Coturnix japonica: one gene and its partners. The protein of the gene in region 1 interacts with the protein of each later gene in a biochemical or structural test. Links are inferred from orthologs where the notes say so. Each region holds a gene or a part of one and is shown on either strand. Other genes may lie near its edges. The genes, in order: RXRA, NCOA6, POU2F1, NRIP1 and TRIM24.

What was found.
Region 2: the proteins of RXRA (region 1) and NCOA6 form a complex in vitro, tested with the Homo sapiens proteins (5 studies listed by BioGRID). The link is inferred for Coturnix japonica from reciprocal best matches to the Homo sapiens genes RXRA and NCOA6.
Region 3: the proteins of RXRA (region 1) and POU2F1 form a complex in vitro, tested with the Homo sapiens proteins (2 studies listed by BioGRID). The link is inferred for Coturnix japonica from reciprocal best matches to the Homo sapiens genes RXRA and POU2F1.
Region 4: the proteins of RXRA (region 1) and NRIP1 form a complex in vitro, tested with the Homo sapiens proteins (2 studies listed by BioGRID). The link is inferred for Coturnix japonica from reciprocal best matches to the Homo sapiens genes RXRA and NRIP1.
Region 5: the proteins of RXRA (region 1) and TRIM24 form a complex in vitro, tested with the Homo sapiens proteins (3 studies listed by BioGRID). The link is inferred for Coturnix japonica from reciprocal best matches to the Homo sapiens genes RXRA and TRIM24.

What each region holds. Positions count from the first base shown.
Region 1 is NC_029532.1:5,849,119-5,852,970, forward strand, and holds part of RXRA (retinoic acid receptor RXR-alpha), read left to right. Parts: intron 1-711; coding exon 712-862; intron 863-1,638; coding exon 1,639-1,818; intron 1,819-3,852. UniProt on the Homo sapiens protein: Receptor for retinoic acid that acts as a transcription factor.
Region 2 is NC_029535.1:416,952-421,488, reverse strand, and holds the start of NCOA6 (nuclear receptor coactivator 6), read right to left. Parts: upstream 3,104-4,537; 5' UTR 2,909-3,103; intron 1-2,908. UniProt on the Homo sapiens protein: Nuclear receptor coactivator that directly binds nuclear receptors and stimulates the transcriptional activities in a hormone-dependent fashion. Coactivates expression in an agonist- and AF2-dependent manner.
Region 3 is NC_029516.1:82,215,238-82,219,089, forward strand, and holds part of POU2F1 (POU domain, class 2, transcription factor 1), read right to left. Parts: intron 3,701-3,852; coding exon 3,595-3,700; intron 2,781-3,594; coding exon 2,435-2,780; intron 1,628-2,434; coding exon 1,539-1,627; intron 512-1,538; coding exon of another isoform or gene 402-511; exon of another isoform or gene 237-401; intron 231-236; coding exon 1-230. UniProt on the Homo sapiens protein: Transcription factor that binds to the octamer motif (5'-ATTTGCAT-3') and activates the promoters of the genes for some small nuclear RNAs (snRNA) and of genes such as those for histone H2B and immunoglobulins.
Region 4 is NC_029516.1:88,408,683-88,412,534, reverse strand, and holds part of NRIP1 (nuclear receptor-interacting protein 1), read left to right. Parts: intron 1-867; 5' UTR 868-1,224; coding exon 1,225-3,852. UniProt on the Homo sapiens protein: Modulates transcriptional activation by steroid receptors such as NR3C1, NR3C2 and ESR1. Also modulates transcriptional repression by nuclear hormone receptors.
Region 5 is NC_029516.1:55,902,300-55,906,151, forward strand, and holds part of TRIM24 (transcription intermediary factor 1-alpha), read left to right. Parts: intron 1-545; coding exon 546-725; intron 726-2,238; coding exon 2,239-2,377; intron 2,378-3,587; coding exon 3,588-3,660; intron 3,661-3,852. UniProt on the Homo sapiens protein: Transcriptional coactivator that interacts with numerous nuclear receptors and coactivators and modulates the transcription of target genes.

The DNA of each region.
Region 1 (3,852 bases):
TGACAAGTGCAATTGCCCAGTGTCACTATTAAGGGAGAGAAAGACAACAAGCTGAGACACAAATCCTGTCTGTCCTGCTTTGTTTTAGCAGTTGGCAGGAGCTGCAGAAGCCTGACTGCCCACATAGAACCCCATTGCACCTGCCCTGGGCTGGGTTTTGGTCCCCATTGGGTCCCTCCTGCATCCCTGTCCCCTCTCAATGTGTCTATAGGAGGGCACAGAGACACCAGCACAGAGCATTTTTGCAGAGGGATCTTTCTGGTGGCACTGAGCATAAAATCTTGTTGCAGAGAAAACCCCTGAGGCCCTGAAGGTGCAGATGGTTGCTGCAATAGGGATGGCAGCTTGGAACCTGCGGGCCAGAGCTGCAGCTCTGTCCTCACACCTTTCCTTCACACCTCAGTGGGTTACTGGGGCTATGCAGCCAAGGGCAGGGGCAGGATAGCAGAGCACAGGCTGCTGTGAGCTTGTTTCCATTGCCAGGACTGAGCTTGTCTCACACCTCCATGCCTCAGTTTCTCTGTGTGCAGGGGGGGAGCACAGTCCTCTGCAAAGCCAGGCCTTGTTGCACTTGGCTTGCTGATCTTTGGGGTCAGGTGCCCATATCTTTCTCTGGGCTCAGCACTGTGGGTTTTAAGCTGTTTGTCCCCTATTTCATATGTTTTCCTGCCTGTACCCAATCCCATGTGCTCTCTGCTTATGTCCTTGTAGCTCAACTCACCCATGAACCCCGTCAGCAGCTCAGAAGACATCAAGCCACCCCTGGGGCTCAATGGAGTCCTCAAAGTGCCAGCACATCCCTCAGGAACAATGGCCTCCTTCACCAAGCACATATGTGCCATCTGCGGGGACAGATCTTCAGGTAAAGCTCCTCCTGTACTGCATGCTGCCAATGAGAGTGCTAAGGCACATAGGAGCTTAGCACCATCCCCTCTGCTTAGGGACGGTAGTGCCCCATGGAAAAGGGAAAGCATCCCCAGGCTTGCTTTCTCCCAGGTGAGACGTGCTGGGCTCAGCTGTTTGACCTCCCCATTCTTCACACTGCCTTAATGGTTACGAGAGAAATAAACAGTTTGTCAGGCTCCTTGGTAGAGCCAATCCCATGCTTTATCCCCAGCCCCCAGTAGGGAGGACCAGCCATTAGCTGACTGTCCCTCTCTCTGTATCCTTTGATCCATGGCTGGGCTCATCACATAGCACCAGATAAAAAGATGTGCTTTGTGGAGTCTCTCTACTGGTGGGAGATAAAGATGTGCTAATTCCCTTTATTCTTACGCTGCTTTAAAAGCTTTCAGCTCAGTTAGTGCCCTGCTGTCTAGGTTTTGTGGTCTGGTGGGATGCCTCCTGCTTATTCTGTTGGGATGGGGAGGGCCGTAGGGAGGTGCCCCCAGTCTTGCTGCATGGATAACCAATGGTGGTTGGGGCAGTTTGTAGCCCCCACAGGCCATCCTGGTGTTATGGAGATCAATGAATTCAAAGCCTTCTTGCTGATGCTCTGCCTTTCCCAAATGCTGCCCTGGGAAGGATCATGGAACAACAGCTTTGGGTTGGGAGGGTCCTTTGAGAAGAACTGCAGGTCCACGCAAAGGATCTGTGGGGCACCCAGCACCTTTGCTGAGCCCTTTCACACCTCTGCAGGTAAACATTATGGGGTGTACAGCTGTGAGGGCTGCAAAGGCTTCTTCAAACGCACGGTGAGGAAGGACCTGACCTACACCTGCCGTGACAACAAGGACTGCTTGATCGACAAGCGCCAGCGCAACCGCTGCCAGTACTGCCGCTACCAGAAGTGTCTTGCCATGGGGATGAAGAGGGAAGGTAAGGCACTGAGCCCCCCCTGGGGTGCTGTGTGTCCTATGGGCACCTGGCTGTGTTGTTGGGGTGACACACGGGCTGTCAGGCACATGGTGTGCCCTGTGTGTCTATAGTTGGGGTTATGCTGACCCAGGAGTGTTCCCTAGCAGTGCTGGCTGGTTAGGTTTTTTTTCTTATTGGGAAGAAAGAAGAAATTCAGTCTTGTAAAAAGATATCCCTTCCCCTTAGTGGAATTTAAATGAAGGATCTAAAACTCCCTGGCAGTGCCTCTTTGAAGTGCTCTTTTTAAATGCTGACTGCATCTCTCTGAAACTGCTGGCAGAACGGGCTTTTAGCAGGCACGATGGGAAAGTGACCCCGTGGTGCTGCTCAGGTCTCCGCTGCCTTCTCCCCTTACACCCTCACTGGGGCAGGCAGAGCTCTTTCCCTGCTGACATCTCAATGGAGAGCCCCTGGGGTGCCTCCCCTGGTCCTATAGATCTTTGGTGCTTGGAAACTGGAGCAGCGATGGGTTGGCAGCATGGAGGTGGCTGTGCCTGATGCAGCAGTGAGCAGAGACCTCATTTGAGTGTGGTTTGGGGGAATGGGTTCTCCATCCCCTTGGTTTGTGAGCAATCATATCCTGTGATCATCAGGTACTGCTCTGTGCTCACCAATAGCAGCGATTGCACGGGCATCACCAACTGAAGTCACAGCTCTATTAATTAATCTCTAAACGGTGGTGGAATTCCCCGGGGAGCTCGCGTACAGTGCGAGGGCTCTATTAATTCATCTTGATTAACATTATCGCAGTGAATAGCAAATGAATTCAGAACGATCAGCCAATTATTTAAAAGTGTGACAGATGGGAGCTTCGTAACTCTCCAAGCGCGCTCAGGCGGTGCTGGCATGGCACAGGGATGGCTTTGGTGGTGCATAGGGTATGATCCCCATGCAGGCAGAGCTGGGCTCAGTGTCTTGTTCCCTAGGTAGCAGTAAGCCTGGCAGTGCAGTGGCTGCTGGCAGTGCAGAGGTGTCCCACTGTTATAGCACACACCTGGAGCTGGAGTTCTCCAGTCTCTAGTTTTGAGTGGTTCTTTAGCGCTGATCCACCTGATTTCCCAGCAGATCATCTCTGTCCCATTGCATCCATCCCACTCTTGCTGTCCTTCCCTGTTGCCAGCCCTGAGCCTTGGCTGTAGTTGTCCCCACAGCACCTCATTTGGGAGCAGCTCTGGGCTGCATCGTGCACAATGGTTCCTTTAGCCCCAATGCTTGCTTACAAGAAAGCTGGCCATTATCCTCTGGTGTAAACTGTTACCTCTTTTAAGTAACATAGCTGGGGTAATGAGCCTCATTTCCTCACAAAATACTTCACTCTGGAGACCTAATTTATAGCCCCGTAAATGCAGACTCCTGCTCAGAGGAATCTCTCCTATAGCCCAGACATGTTTGTGTGTCATGGAAGGACAGCAAAACCCTCTACATTAAGTAGTGAAGGAGACATTGTTCAGTGGTTCTCCAATGACTGCTCTACAGCCTGGTGCTGGGAAAGGGTAGGACATAGGGAGCTGTTTGGGTGGAGGCTTTAGGAGCCAGATCTGGGGGATCGAGGCTTATTGCAGGGAAAGGATTCCTTCTGGAGCATGTATCTCTGGCTGTTCCCTGTGAAAAGACATTACAGCACATCCTGATGCTGTATGAGCCCTATGGATTCTGGAGCTATTGAGGCTCTGATTAATAAGCAGCCAGGAATGTTTTCTTACTGTGAATTACTGCCAGCTGTGTGAGCCTTTGATTTCTGTGCTGTCTCCCAGTGAGTACAACAAAATTCAGGTTACCTTCACTAATGCAAGGACTGTTGTAGTGGGGATGGCAGTCTGCATCCACTGGTGTGACTCTGCTTGATCTGGCACTCATTAGGGTCTGAGGTGAGACTTGGTTCACTATACAGCTTTAGAGCCTCTATGTGCCAGCAGCTTTTCTATTTCAAGGGAAAAAGTGGAAAGTGAGTCAGTTAGGTGCAGTGCCATTAGGAAGGGTTGGCTGTGGGGTGTA
Region 2 (4,537 bases), on another chromosome or scaffold:
CATGAAGAGCCACACTGTGGTCTCTATGGTAAAACAGATGCAAAAGAATTAGCAGTGTATTAGTGTGGGATGGACAGAGGGCCTGAAGAAAACCTCAGAAGGAACACCTTCCTATGCTGCACAGCTATTTCTTGTCCAGTGCTATTCTTCACCAGCAAGAATAATTCTCCATGCTTTCCTTGTACCTTACAGTAAGGAAGGAGGTTTATGGGTGTGCCTTGCAGGAGTGCAGGACACGGGTTTACATGTGATGCAGGCTCTGTAAGAAACTGCCCAGAGATGGAGCCCCATACCAGTTCCCATGTCTCGGAAGGTCACGTATATTTAACTATTAAAAGAGTAAAAACTACAAAACTAAAAGGACGCACACAGGACTTGGAGAACTTAGCAGCATGTATCTTTTGGTGAGAGTAACTGAATCATTCCTTTTCACAAAATGCAGACTTAAAATTCAGACTCTCACATACACAGCTCACATCTTCATAGTTTCATAGTTTCGTGCGGGTTTGGAAGGGACCTTAGAGATCATCGAGTCCAACCCCCCGGGATTCGAGCCTCTGTGTAGCAGAGCGGCACTTCTACCACTTGCAACACAGGGGATTCGAACCCAGGGCCTCTGGTGTTGCAAAGTGGCGTCTTTAACCACTGCGCCACCGGAGGCATACATCTTCTGTTCCAGTATCAGTTTATATAAGGACAAATCAATTTAGACAAGGCACAGCTCTTCTACTGTACTTTTTAATTGCTGTACAAATCTGACCCAAAGCCCTCTGCTCCCTGAAGCTGCAGAAGGGAGCAGCCCCCTCAGTCCCAGAACGATGGCTGTCACACTGAGCACCTCCCTTCCTCAGGTGAGCTCTGCCGCACACTGCTCCTCCTTCACTTCCCTAAATACATGAAGAGATATTTACTCTGACACGACATCAAGGTCCCCATACATAGACACCAGAATTCATCTCTTGTTCCTACTTTAAGGACATTACCACCAGACTTGGAAGTGCTGTTCCAAACGCAGGAGGCTTGTCAGCAGCACCAACTAACGACACAGGACACATTGCAAGGGCAACAAGCCCTGCTGGCAGATGGTTTTTACCTATGCTTTCAGACCTCTGCAAAGTTTCCTCTAGCTCCTCTCTGTGCAATCCAAAGCCCAGCCTTCCCCCACTCCTTTCCTTCTGATTAGGCCACAAATAATTCAGTGTCACACATCATCCCGAGGGAAGCCTTCAGCTACCAAGATGCACAATCTAAGCCATACACAGGCTGTGGGGGCTGAAATGTCACCTGTGTGGGGCAGCTGCTGCTGCAAAACAACTGATTCACTCCGAGGCCACCAAAAGTTTGCAAACAGGGCAGAGCAAGAGGCGGACAGAACACACAGCAACCACTGCCTCCATAAAGCAAACATGACAGAAGTTCCACCTGTCAGCCAGATGGAAAACCTCTCACCTGGAATACGGGGATGGACCTCCCCTGCCTCAGGTCTGTATATGTCTAGCATTATTTATCTTTCAATTTCTGCCCCTTTGCTTTCCCAATTCTAAGCATTCTTTCCCATAGCTTCTGCTCTGGCCAGAGTTAAGGAACAAGTTTGTCTGAACACAATTTCTGCTATGCAGACTCTCAGCTTTAAGCCCTGCTGTTCATCCAGTGGGAGCTCCCTGTACATCGTCGCATTTGTATTTCTCAATAGAGGCCACATGGTTTTGAAAGAGACACCAACACCAAGTTCCCTGCCCTTCAGAGGGGCACCAATGACCTGTAACAGCTCTATTTCCACTGCAATCCAACTGTTACAGCCACCTTCGCTCCTCAATGTCCTTGGCAGCAAACCTTCTGCCTTTGCAAAACTCTTAAACACACTGTATCTGTGTAGCTGCAACTCCAGTTTTCTTCCAAAAGCAATCAGTACAGTATTCAAAACTAAAAACATGCTGGAAACCCATTCAATGACCTAGTTATGAGTTTAAGACGTTTAACATCTGCTACAAAGGTACGCGATCTTTGGCAGTACCACAGCTAAGAACTGAGCGATAGTACAAATGTTCATCGGAACGCTATCGCCCCATGTTTCAAGCATTTAAGCAGCTGAAAAGTGAAAGCATTAATACTCAGTTTACAAACGCAGGTAGAGGCCTGGCTTTCTCATGTTCTTCCACACATTTCAAAAGAAGCAGCTATTTCTTTACTAGAACAGCATAACATTACTGCACACTGCCTGATGTAAGCAGCGAGACCCACAGAGCGGGCCGAGCAGCCCCCGACCCGGGGCACACAGCTCAGCACCGCTCCTCCCGCACCAGCCAGGGGAAAGAAAGGGAGGTCGGGCTTTCTGAAAGAAACCGAACTTGGAGAAAGGCCGGGACACACCGAGACTACAGGACCAGAAGATCGCTACGCTGGAGAGTTACAGAGAAATTCAAACAAAAGCTGGGGCTCAAAGAAACGTCAGCGCACCGTCACTGACATCTTCGTGACACCCGCCGAAGAACCGACCCCAGAAACAGCGCCCGAGCCGACAGCGGCTTCAGGCGGCTTTAGCGAGAGCCGCTTTCCTCCTCCCGGGGCTGCGCACCGCCGGCTGGGCCCGGCCCGAGAGCTCCGCAGGCCGCGGTGCGGCCGCAGCTGCGGGCGGAGCCCCGGGGCTCGGGCCGCGGCCCGAGAGGGGCCCGACGACGCGGCCCGGCCCGGGGCTCCCGTCCGAGGGCACCCCTCGAACGCTGCGGCCGAGCGCGGCCCGGCAACCCCCCCCCCCCGGCGGCGGCCCCGAGCACGGTGAGCGCTCGGGCGACTCCGCGCCGCGTCGGGCCGGCTCGTCCCGGCCCGCTCCGCTCCGGGCCGCCGCTTCCGCCCCGCCACCCCCGTCCCGCCCGTGCCGCCGAGAGGCCGCGGGCCGCCCCGCCCTCACCTGGTGCCGGTGTCGCCGCTCCGCCGCCGCCGTGACCCGCTCCGCGACCGCGCGGGGGAGGGCGAGGAGCGCCCGTGCGACCAGGGGCGAGCGGAGCCCGCGCCCCGTGACAGCGGGGGCGGGAGGTCGCGGTGGGCCCTGGGGCGCCCGGACACCCTCCGCAGGCCGCCGCTCCGCCTCCCGCCGCTCCGCCGCGCGCCACGTGACCTCCCGCCCCGCGCCGCCCGCGCCTGCGTCCGAGCGCGCTGCGCCGGGAGGGGGGATCCGCCGGGACGGGGGGTTCCGCCGTGCGGGACGGAGCTGCTCCGCGCTCCGCCGTCGCCGCCCCGCGGTCTCCGCTCTCCTTCATCGCCGCTCCGCGCCGAGCGGGCGCTGCCGGCGGCATCGCGCGGCCCCGGTCCCGGCCCGCGCACTGGGAGCCGCCTTCCGCGAGGCGTCCGCGGGGCCGCGGCGCCGTCCCTCCCGCGGCGCTGTCGGAACCGGGTCCGGCCGGGCCCGGGGGAGCGGCCGGCGCTGCCTGCGGGGCGCTCTGGGGAGCGGCCGCCATCTTTGCCGGGAGGCCCCGGCCGCGGGCGGTCCCCGGGCTGGCGCCGAACGCCGCCGAGTGAAGAAGCCGCTCTGAGGGCGCCCGAGCCCGGCACGGCCTGCGCCGTGTGCTGCAGGAGTCTCTGCAGACGTTCGAACCCGCCTGCGTGTCTTCCCGTGCCACCTGCTCTGGGAGCCTGCGTTCAAAGTCGGCCGGGTCCGGGGCAGCCCCCGGCGCTGCGGCTGTGTCAGCAGCGATACTCGGCTCCTGCCGCACGGCGGGAGCGAGGCCTGCGCTGCTGAGGGAAAGGTGTAACGGGATGGAGTCGTGCGGAACGGCACTAGAATGTGGGGATGCTTTTGAATAACGGAATGCTTTGGTCCCCGAGCAGAGAAGGGGCACACGGGGCTGTCTGGCAGGATTTAGCGTGCGGGGCACTGAGACCCGCAGGAGTTCACGTCATATCCTGCAAGGCTGAGTGCACGTGGGCAATGCCGAGCTCACACCGCCGCGGTGCCGCTGCAGAAACGTCACTTTTTCTTCTGCCGGTCGCCGCTTTCATTGAAGAGCACCCATGTTCCGCTGGTAAACAAAAGCAGCACGTGGCAGCTGCTGTGTAAGGCCACTACAATGACCAGGAGTCCCTTGTGAAAATCCAGTCTTTGGTCCTTTAAAAAACCGCACAGTTGGCACAGCAATGTGGGCAGGTCCTGCTGTGCTCCCTGGGGTGCACGGCCCCCAGCTCACTGCTGGGCACAGCCCCGATGGACCCACAGAACGGCACGACAAGAGGAAACCTCGGTTTGTTTGCAGAACGTGTGAAATGCAGCTGTCCCACTTGTCATTTGCTGCTAGAGCAACACGGAACAAAATAGGATTTCTTAAATGGATGTATGAATCCATTCCATGGGAAAGCAAACCACCACCGTTATTGGATGACTGATGCTTCTGCCAAGTAATTTTGGTGTGTGGAAAGCTGCGAGCAGGCTGTTTATGCAGCACTGGCAGCTCAGACACTCCCTGCTGAAGGACAAATTGCTCAGCAATTCTTTGCTAGGGGGTTCTTCTGCTCGTGCCTCTCTCCATGTATATCTGCCCCGGTG
Region 3 (3,852 bases), on another chromosome or scaffold:
CTCGGCTGAGGTGGAGGTGGCATGAAGGCTGGCGACTGGTCCAGAGGCCCCTGCGGAGGCTGCAGCTGCAGAGACCAAGCTAACCGGGTTGCTGGTGAGCAGAGAAAGGTTCTGAGGGTTCAGGAACAGAGGGGCAGTTACGATGTTAGGAGTACCTCCAGCATTGGCAAACACCAAGTTTCCAGATGCATCCAGTGATGTTATTGGAAGAGAGCCACTAGATGCAAGAGCTAAAAAATGGAGAATTAAGTAGGGAGGAGATAACATCAGTAGTAACCAACAATGCCAAACGTGCCTAGAAGCAACAGGGCTCTGCACTTTCCTTCCCTGATGTGAATGCCCCCTACACCACTAACGACAGACATCAAATGTAACTTTTTCTCTTTTTAAACGACAGCTCCTTACGAAGGGTGAATAAGACCTTGCAGATATGAAAATGCTTCTGTCCACTTGCTCCTAATTCCATCAAGCTTTGCTTCAGCTCTTTTACTGCAACACTGCTCTACGTTTTCTGCCAAAGAAAAACCCGTGCACTCAGGTAACTTGGAAAGGGTTGAGATGCGTGTTCAGTGGAAACAACAGTTATCACAAGATGAAGGTCATGTAACCTTGAGAGTAACTTTTTAAATTACGACATATAAATGCGGTTACAACTTAACTCTCTCACAAGGCTACAGGGTTCAGTCTGCCTTAGATTAAGATCTCATATATTTATCTGTGACCCTTTGTGAAACGGTTCTTTCTTGGACCCTGCAAACAAGATTTGTTAAGCTGCTTTAGAAGATCACAGAATCAATCACAGAATCGTAAGGGTTGTAAGGGAGACCGTATAGTCCAACCCCCGAGATGTTTGAATACACAAGGTTAGCTAGATGTTAAGGCACCTGAACCAACTCTCTTTTTCCCCCCATAGATGACAAACTATGCAGCAAGAGCAACTCTTACTTATTAAAGCCAATGGAGATTTTTGACTGCATGGCAGATGCAAAACAAAGCTTTACTCCTCCAAATATGGATTTATGAATTTAAAGTTCCACGTAAGGAGTTTTAGGGGTAGAGGTTTTTTCACTCATTTGTTTAAAAGACATTTGAGAAGAAGAAGCCAGGATCAAGTCTTTCTCAGAAGTGCTCTCCCACAGATCTCAAAACAGCGCAACCCTGCTCAAGCTCATGTCAGAAGAGCTATAAAATGCGTATCTCCAACCTGCTGGAGACACGTATCCCTCTAGAACTATGGGGCAAAGACAAGGAAATAAACTCCAGATCACACGCAGTATCTTAAAGGACTTCTGTGAATCTCTATAAGATTATACCTGACTCTACTCTACTTTCTGAAGTTTCACCTGCTCTTGAATCCGTGACACATACAATGAATTTGGGCATTTGAATTTTGAAAAACCTCCAGTCTGACAACACTTATGTCCAGTTCTGAAGAGCCAGCGTTCTTTTTTTGTTTTTGTTTTTTTTTTTTTTTTGTGGTAGAGAACAACAAAGCTAAGGAAGTACAACAGAGATGCATTAAGAAGTGCTTTACTGACCTTGAATAGTTGCCAGTGTACTGTTGCTCATCAGGGCTGGGCTGAGAGCACCACCTAATGTCCCTGGATTGAGACTGAGTAAGGCACCTCTGCAGGAAGCAAGATCATGGAAGAAACAAAGACAAAGAGTGTTACTTTTAGGAAAAGGTGGCCATAGTTTAGAACTACACGACCATATATTTTTTTAAAGGGGGTGGGAGGGGACATGAAAGGCCTCAATCTAGTTTTTAGTTAATTTCCTTTTTTTTTGACAGTATCTTGAGTAGATGTTGCCTTTCAGCTCTGTGGCTAGCAATAGGTCTGAAGTACAGGCAATGTAAGTACATGTTGCATTGATCGTAGCTGTAAAATATTCCTGTAATGTATTTTTGAGAAACTGTAACTTGTTAGATAGCTACCATAAACTCCTAGATTCAGATAAGACAGATGTCAATCAAGAGGAACTGAAGAAACAAAGAGCCATCTCTCAGAGCAATGTTTTTTAAAGCAAAATCTTCAACAACACATATTATGTATTTTTACACTTCTTGATCGTGAGGGAGAAATGAAAACAGAGGTGACAAGTGGGCCTAGGCCAACTCTCCATTTGAGATGATTCAATGGTTTCTGGTAAGTTGCAGCTCTTAAGTCAAACTCAGCAGTGGGATAGATGACTGCAAACAACAACACTGCAACACAGCTTTTCCATTTGTAAAATGAAAACCATGTTTGTGTACCCTGATGGGAATGCTTACCATCTATAAGCAAACCTTCAGAATTTCAGGTAAAAGACACTAAAAGTGCCAAATGAGCTACCAGAAAACTGCAATACATAAAAGACCACACAAATCATTCCAAGAATTCTCCTTCCCTTTCCTGCTGCTTAACCTTTAAGGGTGTGAAAAATTCATCCTTACCCAGCTGCAAACTGTGAGGATGCCATCAAGCCTGGGTTTAGTCCTGCTGCAGCAGCCATGGCAGCGAGACTTGCATTTGCAGGCAACTGTGCAGCTCCTTGTAATGCAGCTGCTGCTGCTGTTTGCAACCCTGATGCTGTTACCATCACCTGGCTGGTCCCAAGAGGGGAGGACAAGGGAGTGGAGGTTGTCTGTGTTGTGCTGGTCTCGCTGGCACTGGATGCCTCTGAAATGGAGGCTGAGGCAGAAGGGGAAGGACTCAGGGAGGGTGATGTCACTGCTGAAGAAGCTGGAGGTGCCGTTGAAATCACTGTTGCTGTGTTGTTGGAGGTGGTTTCTGTTGTGCCTAAAAGATTGAGTCTGGTTATATCAGTACAAAAGCCAGATATAACTGAGCAGAAACCACTAACCACTTGAACTGAACTGCACATCCAACCGAAAGGGAGATAAACACATTCTTCTAGAACTGAGATGTCTGACTTTGAGTTTGGGTGTCAGTCTACAATGGAATGACACTTCAAGAGGAGGCTGAGGAGCACTAGAAGCTAGCAATAGGAGGCAGCACCTTGCACTTCACTATCACCTGTACTTGTTTCCTAAGGAAAGTTAACCAAACGGTCACAAAGAGTGAAGTTTCAGAGCAGAATAATGTGGAACAATGACAAGGATGCCCTGAGATACTTGTGTGACTGCTACTGAGATAAAGAAAGACCTTCTGAATAATTTGAAAGGGGAAAACAGTAGAAGTTAACATGGGCACAAGGCAAACCTGCCCAGGAGCTCTGTTTAAAGTTGAGAGAAGAGGAATACTTGGAACCAACACACAAAAGATGAGTTCACAATATCCCAAAGATTCTTTATCTATCATAAAGGCATTTCTCTTTCCTGTTTTCCAGTTCTAGCCAAGCAGATTGAGGATATCTGTCTGAAACATCTTCGCAATGCACACATCAACACGCAATACCTACTTTATACAAAATCTTTGGCAGTAGATCCCAGAGAGTTCTAAATTTCTCCCAAATAACTACAACAAAGGGCATTAGAAATCCAACAATATCTTTACCTCTATAGAACCTCAATTACTTGTTTGACATCATAATTTACCTGACAACTAAAAATAAATGAACTGTGAAGAAACTGTCAGGGCATGCACCCCTTACCTGTGACTGACAAACTAGTTACAGCAGGACTGGTCAGAGGGAGCACAGGATTGACAGTCAGGGTAGTAGCTGCACTGCTAGTCACAAGGCTTGGCGTGGTTGCCACCTGGAGGTCAAAAAAGAATACAACTGCTCAACTGTTAAAAAGACAAAAGCAGTTAGCTACTAGAATTGCATTTCTTTCTTCTCATCCTCGGCTGAGGAAATTACCAGGGAAAATACCGCACATAAGCTAACTAGAAAGGGAGCTTCTACATC
Region 4 (3,852 bases), on another chromosome or scaffold:
TGTCGTTGACTAGTGTAAAACTAAGAGATACATCTAGTGTAAGAGCCACTGCGTTTTTTAAAACTACACGTTACAGCATACTGCCTCATCCAAGTAAGTATTGAGTAGAGGTGATCTACAAGAATGACTTCAAAAACAAAAAGACTTCAAAGAAGGGCCTGCTTTTTCACCACTTTACATCGAATACGTGGAAAGAATGTACAAGTAAATATCTTTCAATGAAGTTCTAGCAGGAATGTGTTAATAATTGCCTTTTCCTCCCTTCCTATTGCCTGACTCTTCAAATTACTTATGGTAGTTGGGAGTTGGAAGAACAGAAATGTGCTCGTATGTGTTGCTGCTTATTCAGGTGTTTGACAAATTCAACATGAACCTGAACGTTGACTTTTAGATGCATTTTTTTCCCTCATTAATTTTCTTTCAGAGTGATGCTGTTCATGCCTTGTGTGTTCACATGCTAACGTAAAAATATTGTTGGAACTGTGAGGTAGAATCCAGAGTAAATTTTTCTGAGCAATATTTAGATTTTTCTTTCATGGTTACTAGTTTTTAGTTGGAGTTTTATAGCAGAGAGATTCAGTGATCACTTCTAGTAGCTACTCTTAGGATAGTTCACTTTAGCTTAGATTTTACATAATGCTTTCTGTCTCAGAGTGATTTTCACAACGTTCTTCAGATTAGGTGCTGTAGACTCATTGCATTATTCAATCATTAATTTCTTCTAGAGTGTGATTAATGCTTGTACATCTTGGATCTCTCTAGAACTGTATGTGGAAAAAACATCTCTTATGCAGTTTATTTAGATTTTACCCAAATTCTTTTTCTTGACCACTGTTTTTTGGTTTTCTTTTTTTTTCCCCCACTTAGGTATTCTGTGTTCTTGATGGAGATGGAAAAAGATGAAAACCAAACTAACTTCCTGGAGAAAGCTGAAGAAAGCAAATATGTAATAGAACTTTACTGCCTTAGAAGTGTGTTTTGAGTGCTCTTCCTCGACATCCGTCGTAAATATTCTGTATCTCAACACAGGGACATGATTGGTTTTCAGTCAAGATACACTGGAAGAAACCTGCCTGGAATGTGACTGTGTTGCTTCTGAAAGTTTGTGAGAACACGCTATAGACATCTATCTATTATTTATTAACTCTGCATCTCGATTCAGCTGCAGCAAACTGGTCTTTGAAGTGAATAGAAACAGAGCCCTTTTGGATACTTTTATTGAACATGACTCATGGAGAAGAGCTTGGCTCTGAGATGCACCAGGATTCTGTTGTTCTAACTTACCTAGAAGGATTACTAATGCATCAAGCGGCAGGAGGCTCAGGTACTACAGTTGACAAAAAGTCTGCTGGGCATAGTGGAGAGGATCAAAACTTTAATATTTCTGGAAATATATTTCCCAGCTGTCAAAGTAATGGTCCAGTTCTTAACACAAGTACATATCAGGGATCTGGCATGTTGCACCTCAAAAAAGCAAGGCTGTTGCAGTCTTCTGAAGATTGGAATGCAGCGAAGAGAAGGCGGTTGTCTGATTCCATTGTGGATTTAGACGGAAAAAAGGAAGCTTTGTTAGCTGGCATGGTTGAAAATGTGCCTAAAGGCAAACAGGATAGCACATTACTTGCCTCTTTGCTTCAGTCATTCAGCTCTAGGCTTCAGAGTGTTGCTCTGTCACAGCAGATTAGACAGAGCCTTAAGGAGCAAGGCTATTCCCTTAGCCATGATTCTTTACAGGTGGAGAAAGATTTACGGTGCTATGGTGTTGCATCCAGTCACCTGAAGACTCTATTGAAGAAGAGCAAAGCAAAGGATCAGAAGTTGGACAACAGCTTGCCTGATATAACAAAGAACCTGCCCAAAGAGAGGTTTATAGAATCTCCTCATGCAGTGCAGAGCGGACCTAAAGTAGTAAATGAACCACTGTCATGTGCTGCAAGATTACAAGCTGTGGCAAGCATGGTAGAGAAACGATCTAGTCCTGCTGCTTCACCAAAGCCCAGTGTAGCATGCAGCCAACTAGCTTTACTACTTTCAAGTGAAGCTCACTTGCAGCAGTACTCCAGGGAACATGCTTTAAAAGCACAAAATGCAAATCAAATAGCAAGTGAGAGACTTGCAGCTATGGCCAGATTACAAGAAAGTGCTCAAAAAGATATTGGCCAGTTCAGTTTAGCAAAAGGAATGACAAGCCATCTCAATGGTCAAGCAGGATCATCAACCAAAATGGTATCTAGCAAAAGCAATATGGCACCGTTTCAGAGTTCGGTGGGAATCACACATTCACCACCCAAAAATGTTGGATTCAAAAGTACCTTGGAAAGGAATAATGTGAAAACCTCTCCCAGCAACAGTTTGCTCTTACATCTCCTGAAAAGCCAGAATACCACCAAACAATTAAAAGGCCATGAACAGAGTGAGAGAGCCAGCATTTTTGAAGAGAGTAGCACACCAACAACTATTGATGAGTATTCAGACAACAATCCTAGTTTTACAGATGACAGCAGCGATGACGAAAGTTCCCATTCTAACTGTCTTCCTATAGACTTATCTTTTAAACAGAGGACAGACAAACCAGACACAGGTCCACCGGCGTCACTGGATAACCTGACTCAGTCCTTGCTTCATAGCTGGGATCCAAAAGTTTCCTGTCCGGAGAGCAAGGAGGACAAAGACACTCCAAAAGCATCTAAGCTGAACCCCCATCAAAAAGTAACACTACTTCAGCTGTTACTTGGGCATAAGAGTGAAGAAAAGGTAGACAAAAGTAATGAGCCTCAGGGACCACACAGTGCTGCTGATGTGGCAAAATTCACTGTACAAACTGGTAAAAGGACTCCTGTTACTGACAGTCCCAATGCAAATCGAATGACTCCACTAAACACTCCACCTTTGCTTGCTTCTGCAAAAGCAGACTCTCCTATAAATCTCTCTCACCCATCATTAGCCATCAAGCGTAGCTCACCACCATATGCCTGCAGCATCCAGCCAGACAGGCTGGTGAATCCTGCATCTAAACATTTGATAGACCTTTCAAAAAGCAAAGAAATTCAAGGAGCTAAGCTGAGCCGAAACGACAGTCCACAAAACTCGTCAGCTTTCAGTGCCAGCAAGCTGTTGCAGAATCTTGCTCAGTGTGGTATGCAGACTTCCATGTCAAGTGAAGAACAAAGATCCGGCAAACATCTGCTGGTGGGGAACACAGATAAACCCGTAGGCTTGATTGATAGATTGAACAGCCCTCTGCTTACAAATAAATTAAGTACTCACGAAGAAAATAACAAAATATTAAGTTGTCATTCTGTACCCACTGAACAAGGACTTCCAGGTTCGGAAATAGAAAATCTCCTTGAAAGGCGAACTGTCCTTCAGCTGCTTCTGGGAACTCCCAATAAAGGTAAAAATGAAAAGAAAGAGAGGGTGCTTTTAAGAGATGAAAGTTCTCAGGAACACACAGATAAGGCTTTGAATGAGCAAATATTGACAGTGAAAATAAAAACTGAACCGTCTGAAGAATCAAATGTCCCTTATAATTCAAATGCACAACAAATAAGAGAGTGCAAGGGTAACAAATTTCAAGGATTTGTTCATTCGCTACAGAGAAACACAGCTGCTTCTCCAGCATCTGAGGAGATGAAGTCTGAGCCTCTTTCACCTCAAGATTTTTCTTTTTCCAAAAATGGCCTGCTAAGTAGATTGCTGAGACAGAATCAGGATAGTTACCCTGCAGATGAGGTGGACAGAAGTCATCAAAACAATGAGCTGGCACACCTGGAATCAAAGAGTCTTTGCACAGTACCGAAGAAAAGGAAGCTTCATGCTGAGCCTTTGGAAAGTCCGTTAAAAAAGATGAAA
Region 5 (3,852 bases), on another chromosome or scaffold:
GAGAATTAAATTTAATTTGACTTGACTGTACACTTTAAATCATGGTGTTAAATGTATAGGTAGGTGGAAATCTATTCAGCATTTCAAATTCTTAATCACCTTAAGTTGTTAAGGGAAGCATTAAATTATTGATTGCATCCAAGTACAATGTAGCTATTTACTTAGTAAAAGTACTGGAGTAGCTATATATTCATCATATTATCTGTAATGCTTTAATTTCACTAAAACTGTTACATTTCTCCTACAGCGCTGTCAGTGCAGCATGAAATATTAATAGATACTCAACATTGAGATGCATCTTTGAATTTAAGAATTCACATTCACTTATTCTTTTCATAGTTTTTAACTACTTGTCATCTTTCCTCATCTCGTAATATTGGTTGTTGAAATCAGATAACTTCAGAGTAAATTGGGATTTTATATTTGAATTCAACCTACTGTACTAGATTGCTTGTTTAGCTGATGACTTAGAGCAACAATGTGTAGTGTGTATATTTTGTAGAGGGAAAAATACTGAATTGTGGATCACTGTCTTGTCTTTTTAGTGGCAGGTCGGTAATGGACAAAGTTCAACTGCCATTTCAACAGCAAGCAGCATAACTTCTACTCCATCCAGCCCCACAGTCACTAGTGCTGCAGGATGTGATGGGAAGACATACGGTCCTCCTGTGATAGATTTGAGTTCTCCAGTGGGTAGTTCCTACAATCTACCATCTCTTCCTGATGTGAGTGTACCATCCATACCAGTCTGTCACAGATTCTATTTTGAAGCATGCTTTAATGGTTTTGAAAAGTATAAATCCTTTTTGTTTTGAAATTCTTCTGCTGGTTTATCAAAATGAGATAATTTCAGAAAGTGATGTGGGATTTCCTACATATTTTTGGCAGTATTCAGGCCTGTTCTGGGAAACAGCTATTAAGAGTGCAAAGAAAAATAACATTCCATGTTGTAACAGTAATAGGGCTTGTTTATGTGCTTGCTTCATATTACATTCTTTACTGCTATCCACTGGTCAATGAACTCATTATAACTCATTGAAAGTGCTATCTTAGGTGGTTGTTGTTGATGTAGTGGAGTCAAATTTTCCTTATAGTTCTTCTTTTTGATACTTCTTTCCTTCATACTTGCTCTAACATGCATGTGAGCAGGTGTTGGAGGAGTATCTTAAGTTCTTTGTTTTTCTTCTGATTGGTCCTTATTTGTCAGAGATTCTCATTAAAGATGGTGAACTTTATTTCCTTCTTTCAAGTAACTGCTGAGCCTATATTTGTAGTCTGAGCTTATAGAGAACTAAAATGTCACAATTTTCTAGCCATAACTTGCTGTTACTCCATTTCTCCCTCCTGTCTCTTAATCTCCACAATATGTTCTTCGATAAAAATCTAAGAGTCTTATTTTTAAAGAGTACATTGATATCACAGTATCTGTGAGAGTAAAAAGATAAAGTGCACAACATGATCATAAAACTACAGAATCTGTGAGACATTACAGCACACTGCTTTTTTGCATGCCATTGTTATGAACTCTTCTGCTTGTATGTGATTAAGTTTATGCTATGAAGATGTGTTGCTGAAATCACTGCATGTATGCTGACCTAGCAGAGACTTCTGCATCCAACGCTGAGAAGTCTAGCATTTAAATAGAAATTTCAGCATTCAATGGAGTTGCTGCCTGTAGATTTGAGATGTGTCTGGATAGTTAAGAAAGCTGATACCAAAGTGACCTATTTTCTGATCAAGCATGATCTCATGTATTATTAAACGGAACAAAACAAACCAGCAGCAAACTAACATCTCAAAATGTTATTTCTCTTTACCAAATCAGAATGTATAGCTTGTACAGAAAGCTAGACTGATAAATTTGCAGTTCTTAAAAGAAAGTTCCACTGTCTAGCCTGAGTCATGAATAAATAAACGTTGACTTGTTTTGAGTGTGTTTTGAGTGAATATGTGTGCCCCCTACCCAGAAGATGTGTGAGGCAAATGGAGTTAAGTGTCTTTTGAGGTTCTTCCACTTCAGCATAAACTAATGATATGAAACACTGTCAGGGTTTGGTCATTTCTCTATTTAGAGAAAACCAGATGTTTTAAAGTAACCACTTTTAGGATGGCTCAGGTTAGGTGGTCTTCATTTTGGTCTTCATCTCCAAAACAAAAGTATGGCAGAGGCACTATATTTTTTGTTTTGTTGTTTTCCCCCAACTCTTAGCTACTTTTCCTCTGTTAACCATCTTGTAGATTGACTGTTCAGGAAACATCACACTGGATACTGCTGCGAGGAAGGATGATGGCACTGCAGAGCAAAACCACCCAAAACCCCCTTCAAACAGAACTGTGCAGTCACCAAATTCATCAGTACCGTCACCAGGCATCTCAGGTAATTGGACTGTGATACAATTTTCTATTCATGTAGTGTAATGGTAGAACGTAACACGGCAATGTTAACATTGATATCAGAACGAGTTACTTGTATTTTATATCCACAATAAGAAATATTAAAATAAAGGCAAATAGTTAGAAAGCTTAGTATGAGGTAAAGCTGAGACTGCTTTAGTGCTGTGAACAAAGTTAAGTCAACAAACCTTAAAAACATGGAGTAAAAACTTAGTAGACACAAGAAAACTGCAAATGCAAGTTTATCTGTGGAAAACTGTCCTGTTCAGGTATACTAGATAGCATCCTAGAAGCTTTAGTAGGAGGGAAGAATTCGGTAAAGCAAGATAGGATGTAACATGAATGTAATGTAATGTATGTAACATGAATGTAATGCAATGAATGTAACAGAAGATAATGGCTGCAACTGGTCACTTGCAAATCTCAGTTTGGACATTAGAAAATCTTCTTCACTGGGAGAGTAGTGTAGCACTGACAGAAGTTGACCAGAACGATTATTGTTATGTGTAGCTAAATGTGGTAGAATTGAAGGACACATGGGATTCCTGGCACCATACCTGGTGGAATCAGTGGATGCTCCTTATTCTTACACTATGGGCCATTTCCTGATTTGGCCTGTAGTGAGGCTCTGTGAGCATGAATTCCCAGTATGTTCTTACTTGATGTTCATGCACTTGGACAGATTAGCTCAGAAAAGAGGACGGTGCATACAGATGCTCTCGTAAACAGGGACAGCGCAAACAGCCTGATTCTTTTTTCTCAGGAAAATTACCCTTCACAAATTTTCTGCTGTCTGACCCTTAGACCCTTTGTTGGGATCTCACATCTACACCCTGTCCTGAGGCCTCATTTTTCTGACCAGCTAATATGGCTTGAAGTTTTATAGTAAATTACACAATTAGAAACTAGAAATAGAATTTAATAAGGTAAGACAAAACAAACTGCAGTGATCAAGTGCAGGCATCAACCAGGAAAAGGTACTAAATCATCACCCTGCTTACATGCCAAAAATAGTTCTTTCCTTTACTCTATTATTCTTTTCTTGTTCTCTTATGGTTTTGTACTAGATGAGGTATTGATTAAATAAATAACAAGGCAAGAGAAATTTGCCAAAGACCTACATACTTCTCCAAATAATGGATCAGACTTGGCATAGATGTGTATTACATTCTAATCTGCTTCTTCTATCCTAGGAGGTGTCAGTGTAACAAACATACACCCTCCAATACGTTCACCCAGTGCCTCCAGTGTTGGGAGCAGAGAGAGGTAAGGAAGGAGTGGGAGTGGAAGAACATATGACTTCCACATCCATAGAACATGCCTCAGACTCTTTTATTGTTAGTGCAGAGAGATGTTAATGTACTCAAGCTTCTCTCTTAACAGAACAGATATGACAGTTATTACAGTACTTAGTGCAGTCTGAAAGTATGAAGGCTGCTCTGAAAGTAAGATCTCTTA